4 linked regions of the Saccharomyces cerevisiae S288C genome follow. Changing the gene in region 3 together with the main gene of any one other region gives a genetic interaction. Each region holds a gene or a part of one and is shown on either strand. Other genes may lie near its edges. The genes, in order: RVB2, RBP95, RSA3 and CKB2.

The links.
Region 1: mutations in RSA3 (region 3) and RVB2 impair growth when combined (synthetic growth defect), as found in Saccharomyces cerevisiae (2 studies listed by BioGRID, with this or other methods).
Region 2: mutations in RSA3 (region 3) and RBP95 together harm fitness more than expected from each alone (negative genetic interaction), as found in Saccharomyces cerevisiae (5 studies listed by BioGRID, with this or other methods).
Region 4: mutations in RSA3 (region 3) and CKB2 together harm fitness more than expected from each alone (negative genetic interaction), as found in Saccharomyces cerevisiae (3 studies listed by BioGRID).

Annotation. Positions count from the first base shown.
Region 1 is NC_001148.4:101,631-105,147, reverse strand, and holds RVB2 (RuvB family ATP-dependent DNA helicase reptin), read right to left. Parts: upstream 1,917-3,517; coding exon 501-1,916; downstream 1-500. Other genes in the region: VMA11 (H(+)-transporting V0 sector ATPase subunit c'), read left to right, coding at 1-202; putative serine/threonine protein kinase ENV7, read left to right, coding at 2,446-3,517. UniProt on the Saccharomyces cerevisiae protein: DNA helicase which participates in several chromatin remodeling complexes, including the SWR1 and the INO80 complexes.
Region 2 is NC_001135.5:141,346-145,480, reverse strand, and holds RBP95 (RNA-binding ribosome assembly factor RBP95), read right to left. Parts: upstream 1,848-4,135; coding exon 975-1,847; downstream 1-974. Other genes in the region: CWH43 (Cwh43p), read left to right, coding at 1-708; CTO1 (Cto1p), read left to right, coding at 3,311-4,135.
Region 3 is NC_001144.5:577,293-581,168, forward strand, and holds RSA3 (Rsa3p), read right to left. Parts: upstream 1,733-3,876; coding exon 1,070-1,732; downstream 1-1,069. Other genes in the region: CCC1 (Ccc1p), read left to right, coding at 1-501; U3 snoRNA-associated protein UTP13, read right to left, coding at 2,026-3,876. UniProt on the Saccharomyces cerevisiae protein: Required for efficient biogenesis of the 60S ribosomal subunit.
Region 4 is NC_001147.6:403,918-407,044, reverse strand, and holds CKB2 (casein kinase 2 regulatory subunit CKB2), read right to left. Parts: upstream 1,278-3,127; coding exon 501-1,277; downstream 1-500. Other genes in the region: HIR2 (Hir2p), read left to right, coding at 1,657-3,127. UniProt on the Saccharomyces cerevisiae protein: Regulatory subunit of casein kinase II/CK2.

The sequences.
Region 1 (3,517 bases), on a different chromosome or scaffold from region 3:
CTTGAGTTGTGGGCTCTGTGTGGGATTTGCCTGTTTGAGTAGTGGCTACGCCATTGGTATGGTCGGTGACGTTGGTGTTAGAAAGTATATGCACCAACCAAGGCTTTTTGTCGGTATCGTTTTGATTCTAATTTTCTCTGAAGTTTTAGGGTTATATGGTATGATTGTAGCTTTGATTTTGAACACTAGAGGCTCTGAATGAGTCAAAAGTTTAAAAAAAAAAAATAATTACAATAAAAAAATTTTTTCTCATATACACGCACCAACCCCCTTCATATATGTATAGAATATAGTATATATTATAATACTGCTATCTATACATTTGATAATCGATAATTATTCGAAAGAAGGTATATCATACGGGGTTCTGAACGTGCTGGCCAACTGCTGCCTATTTTAGGTGTACTTTTTTACTTCTTATCACCAACAATCACGCAAACATAAAATTTTTATTTATACATATATATTTGATGCAATTTCTGCCTTAAAGTACAAAATGCTTATTCCGTAGTATCCATGGCATCAGGGTCTGCTGATTTAGCAATGGATATTTGAACGTTGCCCTGATCATCAATATATTGTGACTCGTTCTCTTGAACATACTTAACAGATCTAGCGCTGTCCAAAAATAGCAAATAAGCCCTTTTGACATCTTCCACTTCAACAGTGTTGTTTTTTCTCTTCATTGCAATTTGCTGAGCAACAGAGATTAAATTACTGCTGTAACGCAAACTAGTTTCCACACCTGTTTTGGTCAATAGATCTAAGGCATCGGATGACAGTTCAACTTCCTCCTCTTGTGCTCTTATAGATAAAATTGTCTTAATCTCCTGCTCATTATAACTTTTAGTTGTAATAATAATTGACCTATCCAAAAGATCGAGAGGTAACCCATGTGGAGATTTGTAATTAGTCCCTCTGGTTTTGGAAACTCCTCTATTTGTAGCCATCATGACGATTGGGGCAAACTCATCTTCCAAAGCCCTATTTATAAAGGAAAAACATTCTATATCCAACATGTGGACTTCGTCGATAAATAATACACCAGGAACAATTTCTGCTTTACCTTCTTCTTTCCATTCTGCCACTTTTGTGTTTATCTGGTCTCTTACCTCTGACCTAATTTCACCGGTGTCACCAGTAAATAATGCCAAAAATCCTTGTGTTCTTGAATTAATAACATCAATTTCATGCAGTGACACCGTGTGAACCACTGTTTTCCTTTTTTGCAGTTCGCCTTCCGGACATTGAACAAATCTGGTATCAGCACCCATGGCATCATAATCCCTAGATCTAGCAAAGGATCTGCCTAGCTTGGTAATCTTCCCACTAGCTTTATCAATAGAAATAACATCGCCAGCCAATACCTTTTCTTTAGTTAGGCCATCAATCATTTTATTGCCTAATTCATAAATTGTTTCCATATCGGTAGTTTTAATAGTCAATTTTCCTTGTTTGTGTCCACCAGTAATAGATCTATCAATTTGAATTTCCACGACTTCACCTTCAATCAATTCTGTCTCCTCCTTGATTTTGATACCGATGGATTTCCTAAAAGCTTGAGTTAGTGCTTCAGTTTTACTCAATTCTAAAGAAAAGATTTCTGAGCCCGCAATAGCAGTGAATGGTACATCTTTACCCAGAGACTGGGAAACACCCATGGCAAGAGCGGTCTTACCAGTTGAAGGGGGGCCCGCTACCAAAACAGCCCTACCTGCTATGGTGCCATTTTGAACCATTTTCAATATCACACCAGCAGCACGACGGGCTTGCAATTGCCCAACCATACCTTCGGATGTGGGACGTGGTTGCAAGTTTTCATCTAGACCTAAACCTGTAATATGGGAGTGGGCAGCAATTAAAGATAACGACTTTAAATCTGATGTTTCATTTGGATCACTAGTTTGAATCGACATGCTGACAATTTTTTTTATTTCCTTTCAAAGTAACTTGTGCTAGACTGCTAGAGAAAGTAGTATTGCTGGCTTCAACTAACTGAACTTCTTTCTCTCGTTTCCCGTGTGAATGTACAGTCTTCATTTAGCTTTCATCTTCTATTGAAAACCTTCAAAAAGTTCGCTGAAAAAAATAATTTTCACGTTTCTTTCAAACTGATCACGTGAAAGGGAGTTAAATAGACTTTAATAAGTGTAGAAACAAAGAAGTAAAGAAAACCGCTATATTGGGTCTAACCAATACGACTGATACAACTGTGTTGACCCCCAAAGTTTACATAATTTGCTCTTTTTCTTTTTTGCAAGATCCTTTCTGTTTTGATAAGTCCTGTCTTATGACACCGAGTTAGGGACATTTTCGGTATCTGGTTTTGTAAGATGTTGAACCATACTTTCTCCAAAAAGACGAAACAGAGAGTAGACAAAAAGAGCCTGTAATCTCAGCGACTGACTAGGGATAAAATAACGATTGTACCATCTTATCCGATCAATGATTTCTATTGTATTGGAATTGTTCCAGAACTTGTGCTGCTGTCGCGGATTTTCCGATGCTACTATTAGGGTAAATGATAAACGATATAGGATTCAACGACTACTTGGAGAAGGTGGAATGTCCTTTGTGTATTTGGTACAACTGTCAAAGAATTCTCTGATTATAGACAACGGCATCGCAACACCAGAATTATACGCACTAAAGAAGATTATTTGTCCTAGTGTGGAAAGTATATCCAATGGTATGCGAGAAATTGAAAATTACAAACGGTTTCAAAGTCCTTATGTTATAAAAAGTATCGACTCACAAGTAATGCAGGAAAAAGATGGGTCAAAAACAATTTACATAGTACTACCCTATTATTCATTAGGGAGTTTACAAGACTCTATTAATCGGAGGTTACTCGAGGGCACCTTTGTATCAGAGGCAGAATGCGTAAGGATAATGCTTGGAGTTACAAGAGGTTTACTTTGTTTACATGATCCTGCGTCAAGACAAGATAACGCTACTTCCAGAGTAAATGTCGATGCGGTTTCTATGACTTATAGCGATGAAACGGCGATGCTCCTAGAAGACACCCCCTTAGAGATGGACATGCTTTCCTCCAACTCAGCAGGTTCAATAGCATATGCACATCGCGATATTACACCTTCAAACATTTTGTTCTCTTCAGACGGTTTACCAGTAATTGGTGACCTCGGCTCCTGCTCTCAAGCTGATATAACAATTGAAAACAGACATCAACTCAGCGAACTACAAGAATGGGTCAATGACAATTGTACGTTGCCATATACTCCACCAGAACTTCTGAACTTGAAATTAAATCAGGTTTTGAGCTCTAAGGTTGATATTTGGTCTTTGGGTTGTACGTTCTATACTTTAATGTTCGGTATCTCCCCCTTTGAGCGAGAAGAGCAGATACATGGAGCTTCTTTAACCTACGCTATAAACACTGGTAAGTACAGTTTCCCGAGAAATTCCAGATTTTCTGAGGGGCTTTTGAGTGTAATCAAGAAATGCATTCAAGTGGATCCTATACAAAGGCCTACTACCAGCCAATTATTAAATC
Region 2 (4,135 bases), on a different chromosome or scaffold from region 3:
GAAACAGATACACAAAGAATTACCATGGGGAACAGGGATCTAACTAGCAAACTAGCTCATGATTTGAATATGTATGCAGATTTCGGACCAGGTCCAAATAAACATACCTGGGGCTGTGTTCTTCTTTCTAAATTCCCTATCGTAAATTCTACGCATCATTTATTGCCCTCTCCAGTTGGGGAACTTGCGCCAGCCATTCATGCCACACTTCAAACGTACAATGACACTCTCGTTGACGTCTTTGTATTCCATAGTGGACAAGAAGAGGATGAAGAGGATAGAAGACTGCAAAGTAACTACATGGCTAAGCTCATGGGCAATACGACTCGCCCAGCTATTTTATTAAGTTACTTAGTTGTTGATCCAGGTGAAGGCAACTACAATACGTACGTTAGTGAAACATCCGGAATGCACGACATTGATCCTTCTGACGATGATAGATGGTGTGAGTATATCTTGTATAGGGGCTTGAGAAGAACAGGATATGCTAGAGTTGCAAGAGGAACGATAACCGATACGGAGCTACAAGTTGGTAAGTTCCAAGTTTTGAGTGAGCAAGCGTTAGTAGAGCACTCGGATTCTATGTATGAATACGGTCATATGAGTGAACCGGAATATGAGGACATGAAATTTCCAGATAAGTTTTTAGGCGAAGGTGAGAGGGGTCACTTCTACCATGTTTTTGATGAGCCACGTTATTACTTATAAGAGGCCGTAAGGTGGTTTTATAAATCAGTGTAATCACATTGTGTGTACTGAAAATCTTGATAACTTAAGGTAAGTTATGTATCCACCTGATTTTTTTGACCTCGAATTTTAAAAATTTATGTGATTTCTTTATGTATGTTACTTAGACGATCTTGTTATAGTTTTGTAAGAAATTATACTTCCTGAAACGATTTATCCCGCTACTTTTTGAGCGTATTTCACAGTAAAATATATACTACAACTGAACAACGTTGTTGAACTCTATGTTAAACATCAACGAAGAAATTCTTAAGTTCTATCTGCTCCGAGTCATCATTCTTCCAAATTTCTAGTAATTTCAGACTTCTTTGAACAAGCTCTTTATTCGGCATTTGTACTTCCTCTTGCTCGTCTTGTACCTCTTTTTGCTTCCCTTGTTCGGCATTACCGTCTTTTTCACCTTCTTCTTTTTCTTCACCATTAATTGGTTCGCTAGCCTTATCCTCTGCAATTAACGCTTTTATTTTTGTTTCTTGATCTTCCACATAGTCGTTCCATTGCTTCAGTTTTCCTTTGCATTTTGATATTAGTTCTTCTTTTGATTTACCTTGTAAGTCCCTGAAATATAAAAGCAAAAGATCATTATATACTGAGGGGATTTCGTCCAAGTTGAAAAAATGCTTAATAAGCCAATTTTGCTTTTGCTTGGAAAATTTCCAAACTTCAACAACACCAGACTCTGATGGCTCGTCTTTGATCAGGGAGTCGCCGTAATTTTCTTTTACACTTTCCAATTCTAGGATTCCGGTGGGAAACTTGCTCTCAGACTTTGTCCTGAAAAATTCTATCAGGTAACGTAATTGATCTTTAAGAATTTTATTTTTTTTCGAATTCTTTTCATCCTTTGACAATTTTTCCTTCTTCTTCGTCCCTGGTTTCGACACACGCTTCCCTTTTTTGGTAGAGGATTTGCTCTCACCATTAATGATTCTTTTTTTCTCTTTCTTTGTCAAATTACCAGTGGATAAATGCGTAGTGATATTTAGTGGATCATCATCTATTAGATTGGATTGGCCTTTTTCTTTACTTTCGTCACCACTGCTTATAGTCTGTCTCTTCAAAGCAATTCTTTTCCAGGCAGGAACGTGATTTTCGGACATTTAATTGTGAAGTGAATGTTTCTTCTGCTTGTAATTTGTCGATAAAGAAAGCACTTATGACAGTACTTTGATATTTGAATTTAGCTCATCTCTTTTCGTTCCTTTTTCTCGCTCGAAAATTTTCAATAATTTGCAGTAAAAAGGCGATGCCAGTAAAAAACTACCTGCAAAGGGAGCGTTAGACATATCTTTTATTGGCGACAAATATTTTTAGCGATATATATCCGTAAAGATCTGGCGATATTCTTTATCACTCGATGATAATAAATTCTTTTACACTTTGCTATTTTCCATGAGAACGGTTGGTATTCCTGTTCCCAATAACAAAAGCGTTTGCATATTTTTATGGTGAAGGTACTATCAACTGTAAAGTATGTACAATAGATTTATTAAAGGGAAACACTTTTCGTAGTAAGAAAAGCAGGTTTATAATTCAATTGTTTTAAAGCTGAATAATGCCGTGGTGTTAAACTACGACCGAGCTATAGCAACAGCATCGGCCACACACTCTCTCTTATTCTTATGTTAATAGTCGACCTTTCAAGGATGTTCTTGTTGGAATAGAAATCCACTATCGTCTATCAACTAATAGTTATATTATCAATATATTATCATATACGGTGTTAAGATGATGACATAAGTTATGAGAAGCTGTCATCGAAGTTAGAGGAAGCTGAAGTGCAAGGATTGATAATGTAATAGGATAATGAAACATATAAAATAGAAGAAGGGATAATCGTAATATTAGTATGTAGAAATATGGATTCCATTTTGAGGATTCCTCTATCCTTGAAGAGAACTCCTAGTATATTCCGTATACATAATATTGTTGCTTTTCTCGAATCATGTATCAAGATTACTAGCGCAAGTGGTTTAGTGGTAAAATCCAACGTTGCCATCGTTGGGCCCCCGGTTCGATTCCGGGCTTGCGCATCTTTTTTACTTTATATACTATTTTTTTTTTTTTTCTTTTTCCCAAATTTTTTCATGAAAAATTTGGCGGAACGGTACATAAGAATAGAAGAGATTCGTTATGAAAATTTTCTACTCTCTTTCACATTTTTTTTTTCATAAGAATTAAAAAAATAAGCTTAATGCCCTCTTTGTACGATGGTGTCACTCTAAAATTATTTACGTAATTTAATTGGATGTGATATCAAGCACTAGTTTTGTTTGGAGGAGCAGAGATTGAAAGCCTAGCTTTTACACCGGTTTGAGTCGGTTCCTTCGTTTTCTTAGTTGGAATTGATATAGAAGTGTGTGGACAATCGATTTGCAAAACTTTTTATTTTATGTATTACTACTGAGCTTGTTTATCTGTATACTTTTTTCTTATTATTATGTAGTTAGAGGTTAGTTCTTATCGTTTTCTTTAAAAGCGACCTTTCTTCGCACAAAGCAATGTTGACAATCGAGCCAATGCATTTAACAATTGCAGTAACCAGAAGCGAACAGTGGAGGATATGAAAACCATTATTATTTCAGATTTTGATGAAACAATCACAAGAGTTGACACAATCTGCACCATTGCTAAATTACCGTATCTACTGAACCCGCGGTTGAAACCTGAGTGGGGTCATTTTACCAAGACATATATGGACGGATACCATAAATACAAATACAATGGAACGAGATCACTGCCGTTGTTATCTTCAGGCGTACCTACGATAATTTCGCAGTCTAACTTCAATAAGTTGTTTGCGGACGAATTAAAATATCAAAATCATAACAGGGTTGTTGAGTTAAATAGTGTAAATGAAATTACAAAACAACAGATTTTTAAGTCGATTTCTTTGGATCAAATGAAAACGTTCGCCAGAGATCAGAATCACGAAGATTGTTTACTAAGAGATGGTTTCAAAACGTTTTGCTCTTCAGTTGTCAAAAATTTTGAAAGTGATTTTTACGTTTTATCTATAAATTGGTCAAAAGAGTTTATTCATGAAGTCATTGGTGACAGAAGACTTAAAAATAGTCATATTTTTTGTAACGATCTAAAAAAAGTTAGTGACAAGTGTTCTCAAAGCTACAATGGTGAATTTGATTGTCGGTTATTGACAGGCTCTGATAAGGTCAAGATACTGGGTGAAATATTAGATAAGATCGACTCAGGTTGCAATAAAGAAGGAAATTCTTGCAGCTATTGGTATATAGGGGATAGTGAGACTGACTTGTTGTCCATATTACATCCATCTACTAATGGTGTACTGCTAATAAACCCGCAAGAAAATCCTTCCAAATTCATAAAAATTACCGAAAAGATTATTGGTATCCCAAAGGATAAAATC
Region 3 (3,876 bases):
GAATCTGATTATTATCATGCTGAAGTAAAGAAGGAGAAAAGGAAATTTTACGATAACTCCAACCTAATTAACAGAGAAATTGAAGACATTCTGTTAGAGATTAACCCTAATTTCTCGGACGAAACAATCGTTTCGTTCATCAAAGATTTACAAAGAACACCTGAGCTAATGGTTGACTTCATTATCAGGTACGGTAGGGGTCTAGACGAACCTGCCGAGAATAGAGAACTAATCAGTGCAGTCACTATCGGTGGCGGTTATCTACTTGGTGGGCTAGTACCACTAGTGCCATATTTTTTTGTCTCAGATGTGGGCACAGGTCTCATTTATTCTATAATAGTCATGGTTGTAACATTATTCTGGTTTGGTTACGTAAAGACAAAACTATCCATGGGTAGTGGCAGTTCGACTTCAAAGAAAGTTACGGAAGGTGTTGAAATGGTTGTTGTGGGTGGTGTAGCAGCAGGTGCGGCTTGGTTCTTTGTTAAGTTACTGGGTTAAGTGTAAAGTAACAACACTATACATATTTATTGTAAAGAAATTTGGGATTGAGAAGCTTTGCTATATACTTGGAACTGGGCTGGATTTTCTCGACATACATTTCTTTTACGTTTTAATTTGTTTCTATATTCTCCTCTTTAAATTTATTTATATTAATGAATTTCAAACTAGTTTCTTTTTCTATTGCCAAGAGGCCCATCAGGTGATCCATGATAACCTTTATTCGCATTGAATCGTTTTTCATTGGATCTAATTCGTCATTTGGTCGCCGCCTTTCTTTGCTCCTTCTGCTTTTTTCTTTTTCTCTTTGACTATCAGGTCATAAGATCTTCTCCTCCATTATGCCCAAGTGTTTTTCTTTTTTTTGCCTTTATATAAATTACAAAATACATACATATACTTCTCGTGCAGTATACTGGAATCAGCTTTATACCATATGAAGCACAACTTGGATCAGGACCGCTCTTCATTAAAAATCGAAGAATTATCTAAATAATTAATGTGCACGTCAATATATTCTCCGCGGAAACATGACAAACTTTTAGAAAAAGATTTAAAGCAATATTTTTCAGTTCTCCATTTCTTTATTTTTCAAGACCAATTCTAGTTCACCAATATCAAACATTCCTATGCCTTCCTGCAGAGCATCTGCCAAAATGGATAGTGATTTATTCGTGAAATCCGGGGCAGCTCTAAGACGATTGATATCATCACCGTAGTTTTCAAAAAGTAAATTTAAGTATTCTTCCCTTAACTTTGTCTTGTCTTTCCCTTTGGGCACAAAGTTTTCTGCCAATTCATTGTATTCTTCTCTCGCAAGCTTGATATTTTCGGCAATTTTCGATGCATTCATAAAACCCTCCTTGTTTTGAGATTTCGTAGGCTCTGGGATCTTGCTCAAAGAAATTTTGGTTAAATCGTCTATCACTTCTTTTGAATTTAACTTCAAATCCTTGCTTTCTTCGTCTGTAAGCTCGACATCCGAAACTTCTATTGCAATGTCCTCTTGTTTGTCTTCGTCATTACCTTTTGAGAAAACATGATCACTTTTACCATTTTCTCCAACGTGTTCTTCGATGGCCCCATTTTGGATTTCCTCCTTTTCACTTTCTGATGATGGATCCGATGATGAAGAATCTGATGATGAAACATCAGCTGTTCTTCTCTTCTTCCTCCTTCTGTTTTTTTTGACAGACTTGATATTTATGGCTGATATATCACCTGCCGACATCCTGTATAATATATTATGGCTAGTTCTTTCCGTGCTATTTCAAGTGGGCAGTTTAAATTCTTGTATATATTACTACAATATATGAAAGTTTTCGCTCTTCGTTTTTTGCAAATTTTTAGTGATGAGCTCTTCGCGCAAAGAAGTTTTCAATGCCCGTAAAGGCACCTAATTATATATCGAATTATTTTAAGCTTTCCGCTTCATCAATGCATTTTGTCTTTATATATCTAGTTTACAAAATAATATGTTGCTATTGCCTTGCTTTTAAAGGCTCAATATCTTGGACTTACTGCCTAGAATAGCTTATCCATTTCCACTAGCGCGTAGTCTAATATGTAACTTTGTTCAACTAAGTTATCAACCCTTGTGAAATGCCTTTGCGTGTATGGAATTATTGCATCAACTATCTTTACCATTCCGGGTATCTCACTCAATTTTGCTATGTTATGATGCATCAAAATACATCTTATTGTTCTTTGCGCTATGGTATGTGTTTTTGCATTTGTATTCCAATCTCTGCATCGTTTCATTAACAAAATTAACTGTTCATCATTTAGGATAGAGATGGCTTGGTCCAATTCTTCATTGAAAATGACTTCAATTTTGCCCTCTTCGGTATCTTGTCTAGACCTTGATTCGCCCAAAGCTCTTTTCAAAACATTAAACAACCTCATTGGGTGATCTAAAGTCATTGCTAACAAAAATGCATTTGTCCAATCACCTTTGCTCATATAATTTTGAAGCGATTGTTCTTGTTCGACTTGTAATTTAGCTTTTTCTTGTTCTTCTTCTATTTCTTGTTCCGTACAATCTTTCCAAAACTGAAAAACACCATCTGCATCAGCACTTACGATCATATCACCATCATTCATAGTACTTAAAGCCCATAATCTATTATTATGACCATCCAAAGTCTTCAGACATTCACCGCTAGAACAATCCCATATTTTGATCAAGCCATCAGCACCACAACTGATCAGTTGTTTTTGCTTATTAATAAACGAACATCTTTGAACCGCATTGGTATGACCTTCCAATGTTTTCATAACGCTGAATGTATCCAATGACCATATCTTGACTGTTTTATCACCTGAAGAAGTTGCCAATAATTTATCATATTGGCAAAATGATACATCCCATAGTCCACGCTTGTGGTTGGCCAACGTGGCTTCCAATTCACCATTTTCTAGGTTCCAGATCTTACAGGTCTTGTCGTATGATGCTGTTGCAAAAATAGAATCGTTAGGAGAAACTGACAAAGCATTGATATCCTTTTCATGGGCATGACGAGTATATTCGGATACCTTGATGATTTGAACATCCATACTAGCAGTTGGCTTTGGAATTATCCATTTCTTAATTGTTAAATCATTCGATGCTGTCAATAAAAATTCAGGATATCCCTTTGAAACTATATTTGGCAATCCAACAGCAGTTACGGCAGCTGAATGACCAATATACTTGGCATAAATATCAAACTTGCAGCTGTTCTCATTGTATCTCCAAACAATAGCCGTATTATCTTTAGAGGCGGTTGCGATCCACAGGCCATCCTCAGTAGCATCCAATGAATTTAGCAAATCTTCATGACCTTCATAAATTTCGACATCCAAAGGCAGCGAAGCTTCTGGGCCTGATAAATCGGGGACGGGTATTATCCTAAGCGATGGAGAATTGGTAGCTAAAGCTAATTTATTCAGCTCTGGGCCAACATACCTCATGTCAGCAATAATACCATGATTACCAGCAATGCTCGAAGTGACCTGTATTGTGTCTTCATCATTCTTTAAGTCTTCTTCAACGTTAATTAGTTGTAATGTCTGGTCAGACAATACTAAAAACATCTGTGAATTGCTCAATATTGGAAGTACACCAATAATGAATAACTCTTCTATAGGTTTATTGGTTCTTTTAAGCACGCTACCAGATTCAGAGTCAATTAACTGAAAGATAGCATCACCGCCGGCTGTATAAATTATGCGTTTACCGTCACCATCCTTTAGGAATCCGCATGACTCTACCTGTTGATTTACTGGAAGTGTTTTCAACAATTTACATTTCTTTTTCATATTGAAATCCCAGAGATTGATGATATCGTCTCTACCACCGGAAAGTAAATTTAGGCTTGGCTCATCATTATCTGG
Region 4 (3,127 bases), on a different chromosome or scaffold from region 3:
ACCAAAGAATGAGTAAATCTCCTCTTTTCAGTACTTCCAGATTAGTCTTCAAACAGCTTTTGAGTTTTTAAAATATAAACCGCCTCTTAGTTCATAGGCAGTCTCCACGCGATGCCGCCACTTCTCCAATTTCTTGATAAATAAGGATGCTTCCTACATTCAAAGATTTCAAGCTATTCACTAAAATAACACCAATAATTCGTGGGTAACCACATTTGCAAATTGTTGATATATAACAGGCTAACTTCGGAGCACGCTCTTTTATCTGGTTGTATTATTGCCGTAAGGGGCAATAACGGTATATAAAAATTTAATATTAAATAGGAAAAGTAAAATACGAATGGAGGTAGAAAATAGTAATATTCTAGGAAAGAAAATGCTAGGAGAACAAATGATACCTGATTTTCACAATTTTATGACGAAGTTTCTCCATTATTTTCATTTTCGTTTTCAATTTCGCCTAGGATTTCATTTCGAATTTTTTCTTCTTTCTTTAATAGTTAGGTTTTAAAACCACCACTTTTCGTCAAATCAACATCTTTGGATTCAAGTTTCTCAACTAACTTGAGTCGTTGTAGTTCTTGCCACCTTGTCAGTTGAGCTTGTTTATGTAATTCAAATCCAAATATTTTTGGAACATATCTTTTAGTTGGGTGTTTGGGTACCATATCTGGAAATGCTTGCAAAAACATACCTGGAAAACTTGTTCCAAAGTATGCACCATCAATGGAACTATGTCTCGATGATTTTGGTATATAAAGATCCTCACAAGATGGACAATATAACTTGACACAATCTATACCAGGAATGTCATGCAAACCAACCGGTAACAACTGTTGTAAATTACAATACACACGGGGACATCTTCCAAAGTCCGCCTCTTTGTACTTAGCGTACATTTTTTGCAATCCTTTGATAGTTATAATGTAGCGTGCATGGATGAGACCATACAGCTTCCGGGAATCTGATTCTAATTGTTCTAAACGGGCATGTGTCATATTCTCTAGGATACTATCATCCAAATCATCCACAATATATTGTACCACGTAGGAAAATTTTGAAACTGTCTTTTGCAAGTTCATCAGATTAAAACGATCAGTGATGTACTCAGGATCGACATCACAGAAATATTCATGGCCTTTTCTCCCAAGAAATAAATCGATCCACATATCCACGTATTCCGATGAGTCAGAGTCATCATCCATGAGGACATCATCTTGTTCCACTCTGGAGCCTTCTCTAGTCACTGTTCCCACATTCTCCGATCTACTGCCCATGATCTGCTTTTCTATCAGTTCTCTAAGTCCCTTAATCTTGAATAATTTGAAAAAAGCTAGTATTTCTCAAGTAAAAGATTGATGAAAAAATACAGCAGGAAAATTCCACGTATCTGGAATGACCAACTTCTTTAAGAATGTGATTTACTTATTCTATTTGGTGCTTGTTTTCATTTGATAAAGGATTGCCAATACACCTCCATTTATTCGCTTTCATATTTTTTCTTCCTGGAAGGTCGACAAAAAAAAGCGCGAAAAAAATATCAGTTAATTCGGCTAGAATTATGAAGTCTTCATAAAACAATATACAAAAAGTGCTAAATCGTCCATACAGAGGAATACGCCACGCAGCAAAGGAGTTCCTACACAATCCGGAACAATGAGATTATTAAAGTATCCTTTGGATATTCATAATGAACAAGTGAATGCCTTAGCTGCCCTTGGTCCCTATATCATATTGGCAGGCAGTGGGGGTCACGTGATGGCGTGGAGACAACAACAACTAGTCGATACTGCATTCGATAGGGTTATGATTAAGGATTTAAAGCCAGAAGTTTCTTTCCAGGTGGATCAGGATACTACCGGTGATATTTTTTTCATAACAGGTGATCTCGAAACATTGTATATTGGATCTGAACATCGTCTGTGGGGTTATTCAGGTTGGCTCTGTAGAGATACAAATAACATCAATTCTGTCGAAAAAATGAACAGTAAGCTTCTGTTCGAGTGTAAATCTCCAAGCACAATAACGGATGTGAAATATGACATAAACTTAGGTATCTTATTTGTTCTTTTAAGTAATGAAAATAAGATACTATTATTTCGGCATAAAACCTTTGATAAACTCTCTGAAATAACTATTGACAAGGCGAGCAAACCTATTACAGGCATAATAGATCCTACTGGCCAAACTTTTACTGTTATGACTTCAGATAGATCAATTTTAGTCTATCAAATTAACAAAACGGGTACACACAAACTCATAAATAAACTTACGCAGCATGTACAAATGTATCCATTACATTATAGAATCTCAATGTCACCTCAGGCAGACATTTTACCAGTGATAAACTCGGTGAAAGGTGTGCCGAATAATGCTACCAGCTGTACCGCTTTACTTGACAGAAATAACAACTACAAAGTTACAAAAACACTGGTAACACCTTCTTCAAATGGATGTAGAGTTCTTGTTTATTCTCCAGCATTTTATGAAAAGCCTAATTTGAAAAAGGGCACCAGCACACGCTATAATTTAATCGCCACTTCGGGATCTACAGACGGTACTATTTTGGTTTGGAATACGAAGAGAATGAAACCTTTGTTTAATGCTCTCCAGGTTTCCTCCACCGCAATAAACGATATGTCTTGGTCACAGGATGGGTTCACCTTGTTTGCCATTTCAAACGACGCGACATTGTATACATTCGCATTCCAAGAGAAGGATTTAGGTGTAGCATTGCCTCAAACGGAAATCAAATCGTTACAAGAAGTAAACAAAAAGCTTCCAAAGCTTGAAGAGCCGTTAGCAGAACAAATACCGAAAAGTTTCCCAGAAAACATCAAATTAGAAGAATCTGCAAGCGCAGCACCTATTCCAAACGATATTGGTAGATCTGCCGTGGGCAAGAAACCGACCAAAAAAAAAACGGCTAACAATCAAACTAATGGCATCAAAACTATCCAGAGCACATCAATGGAATTCAACACTCCATCATACACTGTGCCAAGGGATTTGAAGAGAAAGCCAAAAGAGGCAACTCCAAGTAACATTGCCCCTGGCAGCAAAAAGCAGAAAAAAGAGCTACAGCCAATTGACTTTTTAGATACCGGCTTGCTCCTACCCAATACGT